Caenorhabditis elegans: one gene and its partners. The protein of the gene in region 1 interacts with the protein of each later gene in a pairwise test. Each region holds a gene or a part of one and is shown in the gene's direction. Other genes may lie near its edges.

Region 1 (10,906 bases):
AATTTGAAAGAACCTATTTTGAAAGAAATTTCTCGCGCAACTGGTGCAATAAAGTCGATGCAATAAAATGAAAGGAATGAATGAAGACAATGCGTTCTATCGAATCTTATAGTCTCTGGGTCAGATGGCTGGGAAACAATCGATTCCTTCGTTTCTCAATGTCAATCGACTGATCCATCCACCTGTCGATGTTAAGTAACACTTTATGTGTCAATATACATGTGTGAATATATGTAGAGACAAAAAGTGGTTGATTGATTTCACTTTTGACACAGGCGACATCACAGTTACCAGTGTCCAGGACTGCTCGGCAAAACGTCGCAACTTCATAGCATACTCCTGCAACTCAATAAAAACATTTGTATAACTTTGTAAAAAGCAGTTAAGAAGTTGCGAAAACCCACGGGATTGTGAGCGAAATTTAGCTTTACATCTGTTAAGAAATTGCAAAAGTCGTCTGAAAAGCTGCAGAAGTTTGCTTAAAAGCTAAAATGCCTAATTGTTGTTAAGAAGTTGCAAGAGTATGCTATGAAGTTAGGCCGTTTTGCCGAGGGCCATACACGTGGTTGAACAATATTTGCCCAGTTTCGATCATTCCCACTAGACTAGGACTTAATACAAATTAATTTTACGGAGAGAGAATGGTCTCATCAGTAGTGACTCTCTCTCCAATACCGGGAAGAGTGAATTCAGAAAGTGCGTAATACGCAACATATTTGACGCGCAAAATATCTCGTAGCGAAAACTACAGTAATTCTTTAAAAAACTACTGTAGCACTAATCCGATTCTGCATTTTTTGTTATTCATATAGATGAAAAAAACAAAATGACAATGAAAACAACGAAAGATGAAATATCGATGTTCCAGGGCTGTGGTGGTCCACGTGGCCCTTCTTGCGGATTTTGTGGATATCCCATGCAGTTTTGGGAGACACCAGCGTAGATGCGATCACCAAGAAGATGATTTTGCTCCTGAAAAAGTTTAACATTAAATTAAGTATTGCAAAACAAGTAAGCCTACCTGAGGAGCGGCAGCAGCCAACATTGGGTAGACACCTGGGCCTTGAGCCATCATATGTTGGTTTTGGACTGGATACCGATTGTATTCGAAATTGGGATCTTGTCCAGCTTCGCCTTGAGCCCGGTAGTCTTGATACCGAACTTCTTTAGAGAAGGAATTATATGTCTTTCGGTGGCGTCGTTTGAAGTGCCTTATGGCTCCGGGCGCATGAGGAAGCGTGACAGATGCGTTGTTTTGGCGACAGAGTCCACACTGAACAGAAGACCCGTCAGTCCATAAGAACTCTCTTGGGATCAGCGCGTACTGCAAGAAATAGAAAATGAAAACCAATAAATAATAAATAAATTGATTACAATCTTTACGCTGATTTCATAAGGCATTTCGTCACTCATCTTGTCAGCGAATCTGTAATTTATGAAAGTTAAAAATGGGCATTTTAGCTTCGTAAATAAAATCATATAATAGAAGTAAGAGATAGATAAAAGGTTTAAAATGACCTGTTTTTTTCAAGAAAGTATGGAAAAAACTGATCAAGAATCGAGCCGTTGAGCCGTATGAAAAAAAAAAAAACTTCCGAGTTTGAAAACACAATCGCATAAATTTTCCGCTCGCGCCGTAAACTGGGGACAAACAATTTTTGATCTATTCTAAATGTTTTCATGTCTGAAACTGAAATTGACATAATTTTGACCGAAATTTTTCGAAATAAACTAATTTTACACCATGAAATTGAAGAAGACAAAGACATTTTCAAAAGATTTTACAAGTTTTATGGAATATTAGGAAAAAAGATTTCCAAGCCTCTTGACTACGGTATTAATTAGCAATCGTGGTGAGACCCAGCAACAACATATTGAATAGGTCCTTTAAGACCAACAGTTTTTAAAGGTTTTTTATTCATCACGTGTTTTCAGCTCGACCATTCGGTGTAATTTGTGCAAACACCGTCACGCGCAAATGCAGACTTTTGCACGCGCTGCGGTGAAATTCCTCTTGGGGAATTCAAATATTTTTTCCCGCCTTTTTGTGAAAATTTTCGAGGCGTTGGTCGAGCTGAATACACGTGTTCATTTTACATTTTTAAAAATATGTTTCCGGTGTTTTCGGTGTTAATTGAAAATGTTAATTGGGCCGGCAAGCTTGAAGATTTTTGACATGAGAAATTTAGGATATTGGCGGCTTTCCAGATTACGGTATGCAACGTAAGCAAACAAACACTTCACGTAATTTTGCAGATCCACGGAAAATTTATAGTTTACTTTTTTTGAGACCCAAAGAACTCGGGGGATGTCCAATTGGGGGGATTACCAACTCGGGGGATTGGCCCCGCCCACAGAACCGTGGCTTGCAATACGCCCATTTCTGCAACTGCCGCACGGTTTCGAAACTGTATTTTTCTCAATAGAGCGAGAATTAACAAGAAAAATACAGTTTCAAAACCGTGCGGCAGTTGCAGAAATGGGCGTATTGCAAGCCACGGTTCTGTGGGCGGGGCCAATCCCCCGAGTTGGTAATCCCCCCAATTGGACATCCCCGAGTTCTTCGGGTCTCCTTTTTTTTTACTTTTTTTTTACATCAACTTCCGGTAGAATCTCGAAATTTTGGGTGTTGTTGAACTCTTCATCCTTTCCTCGCTAATATGAAAATGTATCGTCATTTTTCAGTATGTGAAAATGTATCGTTGAACCTTAAATCCAAAAAGGACAATACTTACGCGCGATGATACTTGGAAAATAGGAAGTGGTTTTTCCGATGATTTTTTCGGAAAAGTTTTTAAAGAGAAACTGCTATATAATTTTCATTCAAATAGAGATGCTATAAGCCGCTGTTCCGTACAGTTTTTGGCTTTGAGATAATTTAAATTACTCTGATCAATTGTTTTCTCCATGTTCACATTTCCATCTTCCAGATTGAACTCTTTTCACAAATTTCTTCATACAAATGAGAGAAACTGTCAGCAGTTCTGTTATTCAGAATATCGAGAGACGCAGACAGTCATACCACTTCCCGTCGTGTCTGTTCGCATTTCACACGCGCGAAACTGTCATTTTTGAACTTAATGTTAACACCCTACCCTGCCAATTCTTGAGTTTTTTACTGGCGAAATTAGCTTTTTTTATTATCAAAATATTCCAGATTTTACAATGGAGGCACCTCCGGCCCCGAAGAAGGCACGAAGGAGTGAGGTAATTATATCTGATTTTCAACAATTTTAATATCAAAACTTCAAATTTCAGGTCAGTAGGATGCAAGACGAGTCGGTGCTTTGCGATGACGATGAAGAAGATTCTCCGTTCACATTGTACTTTGTCGATCTTCCCAATGAACCAACAGTCAAAGAAATTCGCAATTTAGAAGAGTTATTCAAAGTATTGCGTTATTAATTTATTTATTTTTCAAGTTTTAGGCGTATTTTCAGACTGCAAAAGCTGTGGGAATCATGCCAGAATGGATTGATTCAGATGCACTCGAAGATCTGCAGAAATCTGAAGACTTTTTCGTTTTACCCTGTTTCCGCGGAAAGCTTTTTCGAAAACTTCAAGCCCGGAAATTGAAGTTTGTGTTAAATTAAATTCAAATAAATTCAAGTCCACAAAATAAAATTACAATATTCAGAGTATACGGTCCTCCAATTGTTCTTGAAAGTATCGAAGATGGGAAGCAGCTCCCACAATGGAATCATCCAGTGTATTCCAGTGTTTTTCAAGACGTAAAAATCAGTTTCACCGGGTTGAATCTTACGAAAAAGCAAGAACTCTACGAAAAAATCGGATGGATGTGTGGAGTGGTTGGAGATGCTCTATATCACGAAACGACTCACCTAGTAACTGAAAAAGCAGAACAGACGGAAAAGTATAAGGTTAAATAGTATATCAAGCAGAAATTTAAAATAAAATAAAAAAATTCCAGGCTGCTGTCAATAATTCAATCAAATTAATGCGAATCGGATGGATTGATGATCTCTGGGAAACTTCTCAAACCACAATGGGCAGATTTAGTGCTTTATCGCGGGATTCAGTTAATTCCTATGCATTGAGAGTTTTTGAAGGGCTCGTGAGTGATCGAAATCATGAATTTGAATTTCAGTTTTATACATTTAAATTCAGGAAATGGCAATCACATCGATCGACGGCGCTGATCGTACCAATTTCATTCAGCTGATTGAAGATCACGGAGGAAAAGTGCCTGGAACCATGTCAAAAACCAGATGTAGCTATCTTATCAGTGATAAAATTACTGGAGTAAAATATGCAAAAGCTGTTGAATGGAAATCAATGCAAATTGTGCAGTCTCGATGGATTCGGAAATGTGTAGATTTAGGACATCTTGTAGATGCGGGGTTCGTTTTTGAGAGGGAATTGGCTCAAATCAAGCGACATTCATTCAAAAAACATTAAAAAATCCGAAAAAGAGGAACATTTTGCAGAAAAAATATATTCTTAAATCAACGAGCTTACGCGAGATAAGCTATCAAAACATGCAATAAAAATTTAGGATTTAATAAAAACTGCGACAATGACAGGAAAATGAAAATTCCGTTTTTAGCAAAATAATCCTTTTTTTTCAGTTTTTTTTTCTGTGTTTCATTATAAAATTTGCTCGTTTTTGGGCGCTCTACTTTCCATTCAAATGATGTTGCCAGAAAAAGCGTTTTACAGAAAATATCATCCAAAATATTTAACGGCTGATCATATTCGATCTTCCACCCCGAAACGTGATGCTAATGTGACTGAAAGTGTGCCGGATATCTCATCAATCGCTGGACATGGAGGTCGTTTGGGTACATCTTCATTCAATTCTTCTATTCCACAAATGGATCAATCATATCAACATCAATCAGGATCTTCGTTTATTTCATTTGCTTCTACGTCAAAAATCCCGTCGAGTACTTTTACGAATAATGATTCAACATTAGGAAGATCTGGAAGCGGAGTTAGAGATGGAATGTATGTGAAAACGGAAATTTTAGAAAGAACAATGAATTTTCGATATTCAGATCAACTCCAATAGCTCGAGTTCAAACTACTCCACTGATTCGATATCCAACTACTCAAACAGCATCCGTTCAAAATATTGCTGACGTTATTTCTGATCCTATCGATGAACTTCGAAAAAATATTGACGATGGACTTGGAGATCTTTTTGAAGTTTTTTTTTTCTATTCTTTAAATCAAAATTAACATCAATTTTTCAGAACTGCATGTTCTATATATGTGGAGTCGACGAGTCTCGAATGGAAAAATGGCGTCGATTTCTGAACGAGACTGGAGCAACGCGTGTCGCAAAATTCACATCAGCAACGAATGTGGTTGTAGTTTCGCCGAATCAACAAGAACGAATTACCATTCGAAAACACCTTCATCAAGAAGATATTGCAATTGTTACTGTTGGATGGGTGGTCGAGTGTGTCAAACAGCGGAAAATGATTTCAGTGGAAGGTCTCAGCACTTTTACAACATCCTCTTTCTCTTTCGAAGTTTTTTTTCGGAAATTTGTAAATAGAGAAATATTTGTATTTTCTGAAGAAAACTTCATCTTTAATTAATAGCTTCGATAAGTTGCTTGAAGATTTCAGTTTAAAACTGAATTTTTTTTTAACTTCGAAGTTTCGTTTTACAAAACTTTTTTTTTCTCATCAACATAAACCTATTTTTGACATATCTCCCAATTTTTTCCTTATAATTTCGATGTTCTCAAAAAACACCAAAATATTTCGACGAAACTTTTGATGCAACTTCTCAAAACTTAACTGAAAATAAAGTTATCTTCAGAAAATAACAAATATTTATAATATATGTATGATTCTCCGGAAAAAAAAACTTCGATACAACAGTGAACCGAAAAAAGTGTCGAATACCTCTGGATGGAACGAACAGTTTAACTATTAATTTTTTCAGGTTATCAATGGACTGAAAATACAGCTGATGAATCACAATCTTCTCAATCTCAACTGCAACCAGTAAGACCTCAGCCTCTTCCCCGGACCTCGTCTAAATCAACCATTCCATATGGTAAAACATCAGGACCAAGCTCTACTTCAACTCAAGTCGGAATTTTCTCGTACGATTGTATTTTATTTTTTTATGTTCCTTTTCCATATTCTCATTTTCAGATATCACACGTATTGTGTCCATTGTTCCGTCGATCAAGAAGTTTCTGATGATTTGAAAGAGAAAATTCCGTTGAATGGAGGCAAACTGATGGACGATCCAGATTATGCGGAGTTTGTGATTTTCGGACATTCTGGACCAATGCACGAGTTGATTTCATTTGATGCTGTTGTCACGGATTTTTATATTGTAAAGATTGAAACCTGACAATATGCCAGACAATATATTTATTTTTCAGTACGCGAGCATCGGAAACAACAGATTTCTCAATCGATCGTGTTATCCATTATTTGTACCACTTCCCCGTCCTCCAATTCTAATTTTCAATCAACGTGGCTTCCAATTAAAATGCAAAGATCCATTTCTCCGTGATCGTGTAAGAGATATTATCGAGGACAATGGAGGAAGAATTGTGGAGCAGTTGGAACCAAAGGATTTTATTATTATGATTGATGCAGAAGACAATCCACCAAGATACCATTCCCGAACACTCGATTTTTCATGGATTATAGCCAGTGTGAGCAGATGTCGATTGCAGCCAATTGATAACTTCCTGTATAAGAACAACACGAGGCCTCTAAGTGGATTTCAACGAGACGATGATCTCTGGGAAAAGTGTTCTCGAGAGAAGAATAATAGTACACAAGAAATGGAAGTTGAGGTTGAAGATAGACATCGAGTACAGGATCTACCAGTAGAAACTGGGAATGGGAACATCGGTGACATGACGACCCCCTATGTGAATCCTTATTTCCCCGATCTTCGAAAGCCATATACGATGAAGTGAGTTTTCTGGTTGCAAATTATGAAAATTGTGAAATTCTAAATTTTAACTACCGTAATTTGTAGGTTATTGCGATTTTCAAAAAAAGAAATGTGTATTTCAGCATTTTGTGCAACTTTTTCTCTATTAATAAGCTTTTCCTGGAGCTTCATCTCAAAAATATTGTTGATCAGGTTTTTTGAAATGTATATTTTAAAAAAGAAAAAAAACATGAGACATTATTACATTAAATTTTGAAGAATCGGGAGAATATTTCTCCGGACCGTATTTTCGGAGCATTTTTGGGAGTTATAATGGTAATATCTTAAACTCATTTAGATATTTCTGAAAAAAAAATTTAGTTGCAAAACTTTAAAATAACACATAATTTGTCAATGTTATCCAATTTTATAGCCTCCAACTCGACGGTGTTAGCGAATACATCAACAATATGGAGTCACCGGCACGTGAAACACAGGAAACGCTGACAACTTCTCGAGTTGGAAGCATCCTTCGAAAAGCTGTCGTGAACACTGGAAGAAACGAAGATTTCGAGGATGAGCCTTCCACGTGCCACCTAATTCGACCCAGAGTTCCAGAAAATCGAAAAACTGTCTCTAGTGTATGGCATTTCTGTTGTATATCACCGTTAGAAGATTTAATAGTTTCCAGTATTGTCCGAATAGTTTAAGGAATTAAATATATTAAACTCATAGCCAGCTTATTAAAACTATGAGATAAATGTGTATTTTTCAGACTCCCGTTCTTGTTCGTGATGTAAACCGTTCAATGAGATATATGCCAATGGATGAATCATTCGCAGATCAAAATCAAGAACACGAAGATCTGAACCGTCGATATGCAATGAATCCACGTTTTTTGCTCAGTGTTTCTAATATGGATCCTCAAGTTAGATTTCTTAAGTTTTGATTTTCAATTCTATATATTTGTTTTTTTCAGCGAGCCGCAGATCTACAAGAAACTATCATGAAGCTTGGTGGTACCATCGAACGTGAATTCAATAAAGATGTGACTCATCTGATTGCGAGCAACATGCAAAGAGCTCCAAAAGTTCTTTGCTCAATTGCAGCTGGAAAATGGTGTCTAACACCTGATTATGTGACTAAAAGTGCTGAAGTTGGTCGATGGCTCGATGAAAAATCATTTGAGTGGACTCGAGAAAAGTTGTTGGCGTGTTCGAAAAAGAACGAGTCCCTCAAAGAACGAGATAGTCGGAAAGTTTCCGAGAATCTAGCAGCTGTTTGTGGATTATGGAGGCAACGTGTGGCAGAGATGCCGGTTACATTTTCAGTTAGCATGGTCAGTTTCTAGATATGTAGCTTTCTGGCTTTTTGGGTCAATTTCTGAATTGAAATTTAAATTTACTAGAACCAAAAACATTCAAAACTCACTAGTCTGCTCAACCTGTTTGAAACGGGCAAATCTTTCAGGAGAATCGTCAAAATGGAGCATTCTCGGATTGGCGTTGCGTAATTCATCTCGACGATAAGAGAGCTGGCGTATTTTCATCGATTCTGGAAGCCGGTGGTGCCATTGTTCATTCGATTTCCGAGTATGTAGAAGTATCTACACTTAAGCCTAACATTGTTTTGGCATCCAAAGAGTTCCCATGGAATCCTCAGGTAAATTAAGAAAATCTCTTCGATAAAATTTATTCAAATTTTAAGAGCGCTGTGTTGCTGAAACGTGATAATATTCCGATCTACGTCTTCGACATCCTTTACGACTTCCTAATCGACAGAGATAATCTAAATCGAACCAAGTTTTGGCATAATGTCTACATGAAAGCATGAGCCATTCCGATTTTCTAAATGTGCTATATATTTTTAATTGGTTTCATTTTTTGTCTTTTTTAAATTTCTAGTGATTGTTTCAATTTTTTGTTTCGTAAAGTTTTCAATAATTTTGCTTGTCCTCGTTGCTTTAATTTATTTTGAATCGTTTAAATAACGTAATTTTATTCTTCTCGTTTCATTTCTTATAAGAGAATATCTTTTCAAACAAGTGGGAAAACGCGCGCAGCTGCCTCTCATGCCATATGTTCCCGCTGTCTACGGTTTGCACAACGGGAAAATAATCAATAAATTACTTCCATTCTCTTGCACTACCCTTTTTGCAATTACGCTCTAGTGAATGGTTTTCTTATGTATTTTTTGGATTAGTATTTGAAATTTTAACAACGTTTCCAGAAATTTTGGTTTTAGTCCCACACCAAAATATCTTACTTTTAAAATTCTTCAAAAGGTATTTGAATTTCGGAGCTTATTTGTTACAATACATTTAATGTTTTAACGAAAGTTTCGCTTATACATATGTCATATTTCCACTGAAAAAATCAATAATTTATTTAAACTTAATCATTTCAATCAGAAACCGTGCGCAGATAGAAAAACAGGTCACAGTTTTACTCAAAAATAATGTATTATATATTTTAGAATTCACAGCACTTTTTGGAATAGCTTTTTTTGATTTGATAGTGTACGATTTTCATGTATATTGATCTTTCAGCTCGCCATTTGATCTCTAGGAGGCGCAATGTAACTTCACATATTTCAAAAATAGATTTGGCGCGAGTTCTGGAGATCATACAACAGACTTGAATTTTTAATGTTATCTCGAGAAAGATCTTTAACTAAAATTTTCAAATCAATATTATTTGGCTCTGTTTATTTAGTACATTTCAATCAAGAGCCAGCTCTCTCTGTCAAATAAAAACGACTTATTATTGATTTCACATCTTTAGATTTAGATTTGAAATATCTAAGTTTCAGAACGAAAAGTTCTAGTTTTAGACCTGATATTTCTGAACCAAGTAATTCTAATCCTCCGATTTCACAATTTCCTATCTAATTCACATTTCTCCCATGCTAGCTCGTGGAGCAAGCTCAATTGAAAACATGAAAGTGCGCCCCTCCGCCACACATTTCGCTTCCGTTTTCTCCCTCTCTATCCATTCTGCGTCTCTTGAATAGGCGCCCGACGTCTTCATTCCACCCTCACTCCCCTGATCAACGGATCGATTCTTCGGAATTCTCTTATTTTCTCTCTCTCTCTTGTATTCTCGTAATATCTCGTTTTTAGAACACTTCCAGTCAATAACCAACAAGAAAATTCAATGGCAGAAGTAATCACACTTTCCGACGATGACGACGATGTAATTCCTTTGACGCCTAGACCTCCCGTCGTTCTGAAAACGTATGTAGATCAACCGTTAATCACTTCGAAATCGATCTACCGTATTTTCAGCAGTACGACAGCAAATCATGGTAACAACAGTCAAGCAACAGTTCACGTTTCGACTGGAAAAAATTTGAATTTTGATCAGATCGGAATAAGAAGGCTCTCAGACGTCTACAATAAGAATCAGCCTGCGTTCCGAGGAAATGAAATTCCCACAGGAATTCGAAATTCGAGGCCTTCATTGCCTGCGACAGCTATTCTTCAAAATCCTCAATTTCTAGTACAACTAGCGGCAAAAGGTCTAAAAAGGTAACCAATATGGGAGTAGACAAATAAATTTTCATTTACACATTTTAATAAGTTTCTAAAAGGTCTTATAGTACCATTTTGAATGCTTTAGATTAATTTCTCAAGTCGGACTAGATGAATTTAAATTTTTGCGATTTTTGTAGACCATTTTCATCTGTCCACAGTACACCGGCGGTCGTCCCATCTACATCAATACAACGAACACGAAACAATCAGAATGCCGGAAATACTCCGAACATTTACAAAGGACATTATATGTTCGAAGCAACTGAGAGTTATGAACCATCACGAAGATCTTCTAGATATAACACAAAGAAAATCGAGGGAAAATTCATGGTAGGCTAGGAGATTGCAGATTGAAAACTAAAATTTCAATGCTTTCAGTGTTCCTATAATCCGACAAAATGCTACAAATTATGTGGAAGTGTCGTTGAAGTCATCAATCACATATGGGCTCACGTTATTCATGATCCTCCGTTGCCACCAATTGAAAAGAAGGAA
Region 2 (5,740 bases), on another chromosome or scaffold:
AAAAATTCCGCAGCAATGACTAAATTTGGAAATTACAGTACCCCTTAAAGGCGCACACCAATTTGTTTACAACAGAAAATTGTAATATTTTTGTAGAATTCGTGGTCGAAATCTTGTATTTTTCACCAGAATTCGAAAAGATCGTGGCGAGACCAAGAAAACTCACCGACGCAAAGAAAAACTCGTATAAATCAATAATCGCTGGTGCAGACTTTGAGCAAAGTGTCGGCAGAAGTGCTGTCATTCGAAGATATCTTCCGAAAAATCTCAAAAGATTCAGAGCAGTATTGCAAAGATTCGGAGGTGGTACACCAGAAGGCTCGTCCAGCGGATCCTCGGAGAAGCTCTCCTGCTTCGTTAGATTCGGATTATAGTTTTCATTTTGAATTTCAGTTGCCGCTGAAGATGTTGAATAGCTCCGTTCAGACTTTTGGCTATAGGATGATTGAAGACGGGATCGGATGGCAGCTTGGCAGAATGGATTCTGCCAATCGTTGCCGATCAGCTCCACGGTTTCTTCCTCACTATTCTCCGATTCTTCTCTGGATTTCGGCGAACTTTCGATTCTAACTGATTCCTTCAAAAACTCGAAGTCTTGCAAATCGAAAATCGTGAACTGAAATGGTACTGGGCACAATGCGAATGATTCGTTTTCGAAGAACATCGAGAGCTCCTCCATTCGCTCGGTATGATATCGGTCAAAGTAGGTCTCGGTCCGTTTTTCAATGGATTCTGCGAGCTTCTGATGGTGTGTGCTGGCGAAATAGGTCTTGCCGATATTGTTGAATCGATTGATGGTATCTACGATGTCAAGAATATGTTCAAACTTTAAACTGACAAAGTCTCGAGATTCAACTAGAACTTGAAGCCTGCGAGTTGCTGCTAGAAACACTTCTGTTCTAGAAGCCAGCAGTTGTTTGTAGATGCTTTGGGATGCTTCACTAGCAGATTCCGAGCTATGGAAATTTAGAATCTTGTGAAACGCCTGGAAACTCCTGCACAGCACAAATCCCATCTCTCGGAAGGTGATGGAAGCCTGCTCGCTGTCCAGCTTCAAGCAAAGACTTGTGTACGAGGAATCTTCGAGACGATCCTCTTCCTTCAGCTTGGATAGGACCACCGCACTGGTTGTGGTTTCGATGGCTTCGACGAAGGCGGTGAGCAGCTTCTCGGCGACTTGCTCGGTTTTCTCCAGCATCTCGTAGGCGGTGTACACGAATCGATACTTCTCGGAATCGAAGACCACAGCGATTGTGGAGAGTTGCGCGGAGAGTTCGGCTTCCAGGAGACAGCTCATTCCGGCGAGCTTTGAGATTACTTCGCTGCAAAATTTTGGTCAGGAAAATCTGTGCTCTTTTCCTTAATGGGTCCCGCAACGATTTTGTGTTAAAAATAGCCGTTCATTCAATTTTGAATCGAGAAAATCCATTTCTCCGGGTTTCTACTTTAAAATTTGATTTATTCTCTACAAATTGTGAAATATTTCACATTATTGAAGTAAGTTCTGAAGAATTTAACATTCAAAAAAGTTAGTTTAAGCCAAATTTGGTCAAAATTTTAAGCTTTTTTAGATTGAATAATTTAAAGTAAGTTTCTACATTTTTCGAACATTTTTTAGTTTTTGAGTTATTAACAAAAAAAATCGTTTTTTCACTTTAAAACTATTTTCCACGTTTAAATTTCAGGCGTTATATTGATTTCCACCTATTTTTGCCCAAAAAATCGGCTTAAAACGGTAAAAAAATGATCATTTTCAACAAGAATAATTCAAAACTTAAAGAAAATGTTTAAAAAATAATTACCATAAACCTTTTTCGCTGCGAGACCCATCTTGAAAAACACGTGCGCCTTTAAAAGGTCTTCGAAAGTTTTTGGGATTTTTAGCTTAAAATGTGAATTTTCAGCCGCTTTTTTCGATTTTTGAGCATTTTTTTTTTCTCATTTTCATTCAAAAATCCATTTAATACTTACTTTACACATGTAAAATGAGCGTATCCCCCGGCTTTTATTTGAGTTTCGATTAGCATTTGAATTGCAAGCGGGAAATTTCCTTCTTCAATAGTTTCTCGAATGTGCTGTTCGGTCTCGTGGAAGCCTTTTATCGTTGTGAGCGTCATTTTCAGCTGATTTAGAACGATTTTCTTATTTTTATAAGCGATTAATCCGAGACACGTCCGAGTTTGGCTTGTCGCCAGCGCGAGCGCTTTTCGTATCGTCAGAATTTCGTTGATAACACTTCCGACTTCGTCTCGGATTTTCTCCATTTCACCGACCTGTGCCGTGTAGGATGAAGATTTTTGCATGATTAGTGTGGATATTTTCTTGGAAACCACAGTATGCTGAGATTTTAGCCGAAACCTCTCGCGCTGGATGTCCTCGTAGCACATTTCGATGTCACAGAGCTTCTAAAAGTTAAAATTTTCGTTTTACTTGGTTTTTTGTTCCACTAAACCTTCAATTCATAGTCAATCGCATCGAACTCATCGTTATCTATAAAATACGCGGCGTCTATCGAGTTGATGACGTCATCTTCCTCGGAAATTTTTGATTTTACTCTCCGAGGCGTTGAGTTTTGTGAATTACTCTCTGGAGCTATTGGAGGGCTTTCCGAGCACGACGGAGCATCGTAAGAGCTCATAACTTTCTCGTTCATATTATCTAATAAAACCTGAAAAGTCGATTTAATATTTGACATTTTCCTTGAAAAAATTCCCACTTTTACATCGCTATCCGAAGAAAATTGTTCGCCTATTTGATTAACAGTTTTTGCTAGTTGTTCCTTAAATCGGTCCATTTCTCGCCAAGCTTTCACCTCTGAAATTGTTAATTTGTTAGTATTTTAATTTAAAAAACCAGCGGAAGCAAGCAAAATTAATTTAAATTTCAAGTAGCAGTATCGATTTTTCTGTAAATCCTGTGAAAAACCACTCGAAAATCTAATTATTCCAATCGATTTTTCCCAAAGAGGAAGCTAAAAGCGGATAAGAAAGAGTAAATCCGAGAAAAAGTGTGCCAGGGTGTTGCGTTTCCTTGCAATGCGCGCGCGTTTCTCTATTGCGAGCACAGCACCATTTTTCAAATAAGACGTTTTCTCCCTTCTTGGCAGTCGATTTTTATTAGTTCTTTCTTATTTTTTGGTGAAAAATTGAAAATTGCCGTCGTTTCTTCGGTTTTTTGGCGTTAAATTGAATATTAAACAGAAAAATTGTGATAATATGAGGAAATATCCTAAAATTCTCGATATATTTCGAAATTGTAAGAGCTTTTTTGCAATATTTCCCCGATTTTTTCCATTAAGTTCGTTCCGATTTCCAATAAATTTGAAAAAAAAACAACGGCGCTTAGCACTTTTTAATCGGATGATAACATTTCCGCCCCATGTCAATTTGACTTATCGATCGTTCTGTCGTGTCATTTTCCACCACACCCTTTGTGTGGCACATTTGCATTCGATGTTTATATTTAATTTTTTTTTTTTGCAGAGTGTAGTTGAGTACAATCAGCTCAGAGGATTTTCCTCACCCCCTTGACACCATCAAAAACTAAGGCCAACGCCGTGAAACATCATGTCGACTGAACAAGCTAACGGAACAACTATTGAGGAGAAGAAGGACAAAGGTGAGTAGGACAGGTGGTCTTCAATATTTAATCCCTCAAATTGCAGTTGCCGAGGTGACCGAGAAATTGGACAACCTGGCCGTCGACACTACCAACGAGGCGAACGATGCAAAGCAGCCAGCACGTCGTGGCGGATTCCGCGGACGAGGACGTGGTCGTGGTCGCGGAGGACACTTCTACCAACCAAGACCACCATATGAGGATCAGATGAAGAAGCTCGAGGAGGATCTTGCATCGAAGAAGGTCATCGAGACCGGTGTCAAAGGACACGTCAAATGGTTCTCCGTTCGTGGACGCTACGGATTCGTTGCTCGTGATAAGCCAACCGACGAGAATGAGGACTTCTTCGTCCATCAGACCGCCATCACCAAGTCAAGCACCATTAAGTTCTATCTCAGAACTCTCGATGACGATGAGCCAGTCGTCTTTGACATTGTCGAAGGACTCAAAGGACCAGAAGCCGCCAACGTGACTGGACCAGATGGGGAGAATGTTCGTGGATCGAGATTCGCTCGTACTTTGCTCACCCATTGGAGAACAAGAGGACGTGGTGGTGCACGAGGACGCGGTGGACGAGGACGTGGTGCTCCACGTCAGACACGTGACCAGGACGGAGATGAGAAAGATGAGAAGGAGAAGTCGGACACCATTGAGAATAGGTTAGTCTAGCTTTTAGTAACGGTTCTGGTGTTTTTAGGCTCAAAATGCGCTCAAATAAACCGATTTATTTAAAAAAAAAAATGAAAAATGGGCTGAAATTAAGTAAAATCTCAAAGTGGCCGCCGAAAGTTGATATTTTCGGTATCATCTGCTTTTATTGCATATTTTAGTCGTTTATCTCATATTAGTTCGTTGATTTTTGGCATTTTTGGTTACCTATTGGTGTAAAAACTACTTTAATCAACGAAATAATGTGAGATAAACGAGCAAAATATGCAATAAAGGTAGATAATTCCGAAAAAAAAAATCATTTTTGGACAGAAAGTGGCCAAATTGGACGTTAGCCCATTTTTTCAAATTTTAAAGAAGTTTTATTATGCAATTTGCACATTTTGGGTCTATACCAGGGGTGTGCGGCAAATCTCAAAATTTGCCGAGCTCGGCAAATTCGGCAAATTTGCCGCACACCCCTGGTCTATACGTTCCATTTAAAACTGGAATTTTAACTCTAAAATTACAATTTTTCAGCGGAGACGGAGAAACTCGCGGAAAGCGTCGCACTCGCCGCCACGGAAAGCTCCAGCCAGATGCTCCATCCGGCGAGAAGGGAGACGGTGATGCTGCCGCTGCCACTACCGATGCTGCTCCAGCCGCCGAGAAGAAGAAGAAACGTCAGCGCAAGGGAAATAAAGAGCCCACCACCACCACTGAGCAGAAGGAAGAGACCGCTGCTCCAGCTAAAGCTTAGGCTTCTAGCTGTTGACACCTACCATCAACTTTTGTTATCTAATTAAACACCTTTTGTATTGAGAACAGTCCCATTTCTTGAATTGTATAGCTGATCCTTTCGAAAAGCCCAAAATTTCCAAAATTTGTTCTGCACGATTTATATCCACTCAGTTCTTTGGAATTCAATTTCGAGAACTTTTTGAGTTTATATTAAGTAAAAGTTTCAATGCAAATGATTCTGTTCATTGTTTTATAGAAATCAAATTCAAACTACCAGTAAGCAATAAAAATATGTAATAAATAATTAGGAATTTAGGAAAGCTCGAATCCAGTCCCAGCGTGGATCGCGTAACGAAGTTTCTCGAGCAGCAGTGACTTCTTATTGTAATTCGGAAGCTTTAGCAAGTTAAAGCAGGTGGACGCAGTTGGAAGTCGAGTAGCTGCAGTTCCCTTTCTCAAAGCCAAGAATCCACGAACCACACTTCCCAAGGTGTCTCCCTGATCCTGATCGTCGGAAACTTCAACGCATCGAATGGAGAAGGGCGGCTCGAGATACGAAAATCCAAGAACAGGAGGTCTCGAGCAAGAAGTGACAAACTTTAGGAACAGTTTCCTCTCTTCTGAAGTGAACTTGTTCTCAAGAATATCCCAAAGCCATTTAATAAGCCGATGGTTTCCATGGAATCCTCCGAAATATTGCACATTGCGCTTCAGATCCGCCAGATCGATGTCT
Region 3 (4,478 bases), on another chromosome or scaffold:
CATGCCTCCTGACAAATCACATGCACTTCCATAATAATGTACTTATTTTCTCGGTTTCTTCTGTTCCTTCTTTTCCTGTTTCAAATTGATGTTTCCCCCGATTTTCAACTGTTCTTGAATTCTGAAGTTGTTCCTTCTTCAAATGAGTATTTAAAACAATGTGTTGTAGAGTGATTATTTTCAGAACAAAATGATATCTGAAGTTCATAGAAATTTTATATTTCAGATTAATTCAGATTAATTGAGATTTCTGGTGTTTTTTGAAGAAAAAAAAACTCGAACGCCTAGAGCTCATCGACCAAAAAGTGTTTATCAGCGTTTTTCTATGCGTTCTCTCAGAATTGCATACTATTTCCATAAGACACTACACTCTAACTTGTTTACCATTTTTCACATACACAACTTTTCCCAACAGAAATTCTTTTTATTCTTTTATTTTTAGACGATTTTTTACTGAGTTTCCACGAAAAAAAAGTTGTATCATAATTACTTCAAAACTTAACACTTCACTTTAAAGACGCATACAGTATTCTGAATAGGTCTCGCGACGAACTCACTAGTCAGCCAAATGTTAAGTTCAATTTCTTTTCATTTGAGAAAAAACTAAACACTGAAAAAAGGCCGTAATAGCGAATTTCACTAAATTACGAGTTTCTGAGCATTTCATTTTGCTGTGACGATTCAAAAATAATGTCTCTAATGTGCATTTTCAAAGTGGTCACCATTTTTTCGAATAACTCCAAGTTTCCAAAGCTTCTTCTTTCAGAAAATGGCATTTCTCGGTTATGGAGCTGCCGCTGCTCTCGGCGGAGCTCTCGTTTACGCGAATCTTCCCACTTATTTGACAATCGGAGCTGTTGCTCCAACCTTTGCTCATTTGGCGGCCGCAAAACTTGTCCCAATTCGTGGTGGACCGAAGGAAAAAGAAGTTGTGGAGAGAAATGAGCAGTTTACGGTAAACATTTTCACTCTAAAATTAAAATTATTTGAGAAGTTTCAGGCCGACTCGTTGTTCAAGAAAGGTCCGATCATGGTGATGGCTGTACGTCGTCCGGGATGTATGCTGTGCCGTCGTGAAGCTGCTGAATTGCACACACTGCTCCCGTTGCTCAAGGAAAAAGGAATCGAACTGGTAAGCGCTCCTTCAAAATAGAAAAATTAAAACTTTGCTTTCAGGCCGCCGTTGTGCACGAGACTCGTGGAGCAAATGAGTTCAAGTCTTGGTTCTCCGGCGGTGATGTCTATTTGGACACTGATCGCACTTTCTACGGTCCAAACGAACGCTGGCTGCCAGTTTGGATGGGATTTCTTCGTTTCGGAACTTACTCGAATGTTTACAAAGCAAAGAAAGCCAAGGTCGAGGGAAACATGGAAGGAGAGGGAAGACTTTTGGGAGGTACGAAAAATTATTAAAATTATTTTTTCATAATAATTGTTCAGGTGTTTATTTGATTGCTAACAACGACATCGTGTTCACTCATTTGGAGAAGGAGTGGGGAGATGCTGCCGATATCAAGGAAGTTCGTGCTGCCGTCGAGAAATTCTCGGAGAAGTCGAAATAATTTTTTAACTTATGTGTTTTCTTAATTAATTAAACGAGGCTACTTTTTTTGTAAAATAAACTGACAAGAAGCTATTTATACAGATCACAGGTTGAAAACAAAATACCGACAACAAGTCAATGAACAAGCTCGAGAACACCCTGACGTATCAGCATTTCGCAGTCTTGGCGTGGAAGGGAGTGCTGAAAAATGTTATACATTATTTAAAAAATTAAAAACGGGATTTCTCTTTTTTCAAATAAAGAAAAATTCGAAGACTTACCAAACTATCCTTGGACAGCTGAACTTGAGTTCCATCTGACGTTTCAAATTCTCCATAATCCTCGAGAGCTCTAACTTGTACAAAAAGTGACTTCGGTGGTGCAGAATGAAGCAGCAGATTAACACCACCTTCTCCAAGATTGCTTTGGAATCTTGCCAATGTGCTCGAATACTCATTGAAAAACTGAATTTCCGCATCGCAGAGGGCGTTCTGAAAAATAATGGTTGACAAATTTTAATCATGTGCACCGATTACCCTAACAGACGCGGGAAGAGCACCTCCATACTTCCATCTGAATGATCGAATCCTGTTTTTCCTCTCGTTCACATAGGCCATCATGCAACGCTGGAAAATTGAACCACTACAATATTTCAAAAATCGACCTTCTCGACTTACTCGAATATGGCACATTGCAGCTAAACGAGGTTGAAGAAGCGTAGAATCATGAGGGAGTCCTGCACGGATTTTTTCACTGAAAAATATGATTTTAAATCAAGAAGTCACGAACGAATCGGTACGCTTCCGAAATGTATCACTTACACGACGGCAGCATTCTTTTGAAACAACTCATCGATTTTCTGATAACATTGGCGTACAAGTTCTGTCTGAAAAGAACTCAAATTTAAAGCAGAAAATAGGATATAATTTTACGTTATAAGGCGGTAATACATCTGGATTTCTTTTCATCTCTAAAACAAGTTGTAGTGCTTTGTCGGCGACGCCTCCTCGATTCTGATCGCCGGAACTCATTTTTTGAACTGCAAAAATTAAAAGTTGATTTGAAAAATAAAATTTTAAAGGGAAATACTTGATTTTAAATATTAAATTCGAAAATAAAAAACATTAAATTTAAAGTCCTCGACTTTCCCACCATTTCGGCTCTTGTGAACTAGTTGTAGACTCGGCCACGGCCATGGGTCTCGCAGCGATTAGCCGAAATGTATCGCCGCCCGTTGAAAACTGCACACATTTTTCTTAAGCATTTTTTAAAAGTGGAATATTGACGATTTTTCATTATTTACTCAATTAATTTCTTCTAAAATCAAATATATCACTAAATTCTGAGTTAAATTCGTTTTAGGCGTTACTGAAACGTAATCCCATGGTCGATAATGATCAATGTTTACAAAAATACATGTTTATATTTAAAACAATATTTAGCACATAGTTAAGGATTATTGGAGCTGGAACGTTCTTTTTTAAATGTATATTCTTCCTGATATTCATGTGTATATTTGCTAAATTGAACAAAATGCCTGTTTTGGTTGTTTTTCTAATTAATTTCTTGTTTATTGATTATTTGGCTTAATCGTTACTCGATTCTCACTATTTAATTAAATATCTGGTTTATTTTTATTTTTTTAATTCTTCGAATTTTCAGTTATGGCCTGGTTCCGTCCTCCACCACCACACACTCAACTCAGACCATGGGTTCCGGACGCGATCTTTATCCCGATCTCTCGCGCCGTTGAGCGTGTCGGAGTGTTCTTCTACAACCGGTTTGTCATTGTCTGAAAACGACGAATAAAATTCTTTTCCAAAAATAACCGATATAATTTTTAGCGTGTTGAACAAGACCGAGGTTGGATTGTTCGACAAGAGATGGAACAAGAACGTTCACGGACCATACTGCCACTGGAGATACTACGGAAAGCTTGATACCAAGTTCATGGATGTGAAGCTAGGAGATCTTCCAGCCTGGATGGCTCGTCGTGAGAAGACCCCATCTGCCTTCTACAACGAGTTCATGCGCAATATCTGGAGAGTCCACAACCTCTATTACTCAGGACCAGTCTACAATAACACTGTTCGTTTAAATTTAAAAAAAAAATACTAATTTTTTTTATTTTTAGGTCAAGGTAATCTTCCGCTTCATCTTCGCCTACTCGTTCCTCAATTGGCTCGTCAAGTCTCACCGTTACGTCGATTTCCAGAAGACGATGTACCATTGGTAGACACCATCCGATTTCGTCTACTCTTCAAAGCTCCACATACAAACTCTGTCGCTGGGGGAGGACGAAACAGCCATCCGATTTTTTCGTATTCTTTTTTCCCCCAATTCATCTCATTCTCGAGACGTCTTCTGTTAATTTAGTCCCCTATCGATTTTGTCCGTTTGTGTCTTTTTTCTATGAGAGAATAAATAGTGTATGGATCGGTTGAATAGAAATATTAAGAAGAAGGTTAGATAGCCGATGCGATTTTCTGGATTTTTTCGCTGTCGGCTTTATCTTTAGATTTGAATCTGTAGATCTAAAGTTCCGATTCTATAGAAGCGCGTCTTCATGTTTCTATTTTATTTTATATTTCTCCATGCTGTCTTATTTCCAGAGCCTCATCTCTTCACCTATGGCTACTGATCAGAAACGAGGGCTCCTGATTGTATTCGAAGGTATTTGATTTAGCTTAATTTTAAAGAAATATCAATATTTTAATATTTTAACAGGGCTCGATCGGTCCGGCAAGTCGACACAAGCCAAGCGACTCGTTGAGTCCATCAACAAAAAATCCACAGAATCCGGAGATGCTTCATCTTCCCCATCAGCCGTTCTTCAAGCTTTTCCAGGTTTAACTAGAGAATTAAAAAATATTTTTTTATTTTCAAAAATTCAGATCGTTCCTCTTCAATTGGAAAGCTAATTGATCAATATCTC

What was found. Proteins that work in one complex are often made in the same cells at the same time.
Region 2: the proteins of mus-101 (region 1) and cey-4 interact in a two-hybrid assay, tested with the Caenorhabditis elegans proteins (2 studies listed by BioGRID).
Region 3: the proteins of mus-101 (region 1) and R53.4 interact in a two-hybrid assay, tested with the Caenorhabditis elegans proteins (2 studies listed by BioGRID).

Annotation. Positions count from the first base shown.
Region 1 is NC_003279.8:10,477,221-10,488,126, reverse strand, and holds mus-101 (BRCT domain-containing protein), read left to right. Parts: upstream 1-3,162; 5' UTR 3,163-3,165; coding exon 3,166-3,207; intron 3,208-3,258; coding exon 3,259-3,390; intron 3,391-3,428; coding exon 3,429-3,577; intron 3,578-3,637; coding exon 3,638-3,881; intron 3,882-3,931; coding exon 3,932-4,075; intron 4,076-4,128; coding exon 4,129-4,361; intron 4,362-4,680; coding exon 4,681-4,968; intron 4,969-5,018; coding exon 5,019-5,169; intron 5,170-5,216; coding exon 5,217-5,460; intron 5,461-5,919; coding exon 5,920-6,082; intron 6,083-6,134; coding exon 6,135-6,321; intron 6,322-6,370; coding exon 6,371-6,915; intron 6,916-7,309; coding exon 7,310-7,517; intron 7,518-7,651; coding exon 7,652-7,804; intron 7,805-7,855; coding exon 7,856-8,215; intron 8,216-8,346; coding exon 8,347-8,538; intron 8,539-8,583; coding exon 8,584-8,709; 3' UTR 8,710-8,825; downstream 8,826-10,906. Other genes in the region: F37D6.3 (BED-type domain-containing protein), read right to left, coding at 805-972, 1,022-1,324, 1,375-1,413; row-1 (C2H2-type domain-containing protein), read left to right, coding at 10,032-10,111, 10,163-10,405, 10,549-10,741, 10,790-10,906.
Region 2 is NC_003281.10:10,866,446-10,872,185, reverse strand, and holds cey-4 (CSD domain-containing protein), read left to right. Parts: upstream 1-3,482; 5' UTR 3,483-3,566; coding exon 3,567-3,618; intron 3,619-3,664; coding exon 3,665-4,277; intron 4,278-4,806; coding exon 4,807-5,026; 3' UTR 5,027-5,240; downstream 5,241-5,740. Other genes in the region: vps-50 (Vps54_N domain-containing protein), read right to left, coding at 167-1,322, 1,972-2,405, 2,453-2,668, 2,717-2,794; oxi-1 (Ubiquitin-protein ligase E3B), read right to left, coding at 5,320-5,740.
Region 3 is NC_003280.10:9,966,777-9,971,254, reverse strand, and holds R53.4 (Putative ATP synthase subunit f, mitochondrial), read left to right. Parts: upstream 1-3,205; 5' UTR 3,206-3,207; coding exon 3,208-3,323; intron 3,324-3,387; coding exon 3,388-3,631; intron 3,632-3,677; coding exon 3,678-3,779; 3' UTR 3,780-3,978; downstream 3,979-4,478. Other genes in the region: R53.5 (Peroxiredoxin-like 2A), read left to right, coding at 770-955, 1,001-1,132, 1,177-1,396, 1,441-1,562; psf-1 (putative DNA replication complex GINS protein PSF1), read right to left, coding at 1,679-1,744, 1,825-2,034, 2,080-2,169, 2,221-2,296, 2,365-2,429, 2,476-2,574; dtmk-1 (Thymidylate kinase), read left to right, coding at 4,174-4,216, 4,271-4,390, 4,438-4,478. UniProt on the Caenorhabditis elegans protein: Mitochondrial membrane ATP synthase (F(1)F(0) ATP synthase or Complex V) produces ATP from ADP in the presence of a proton gradient across the membrane which is generated by electron transport complexes of the respiratory chain.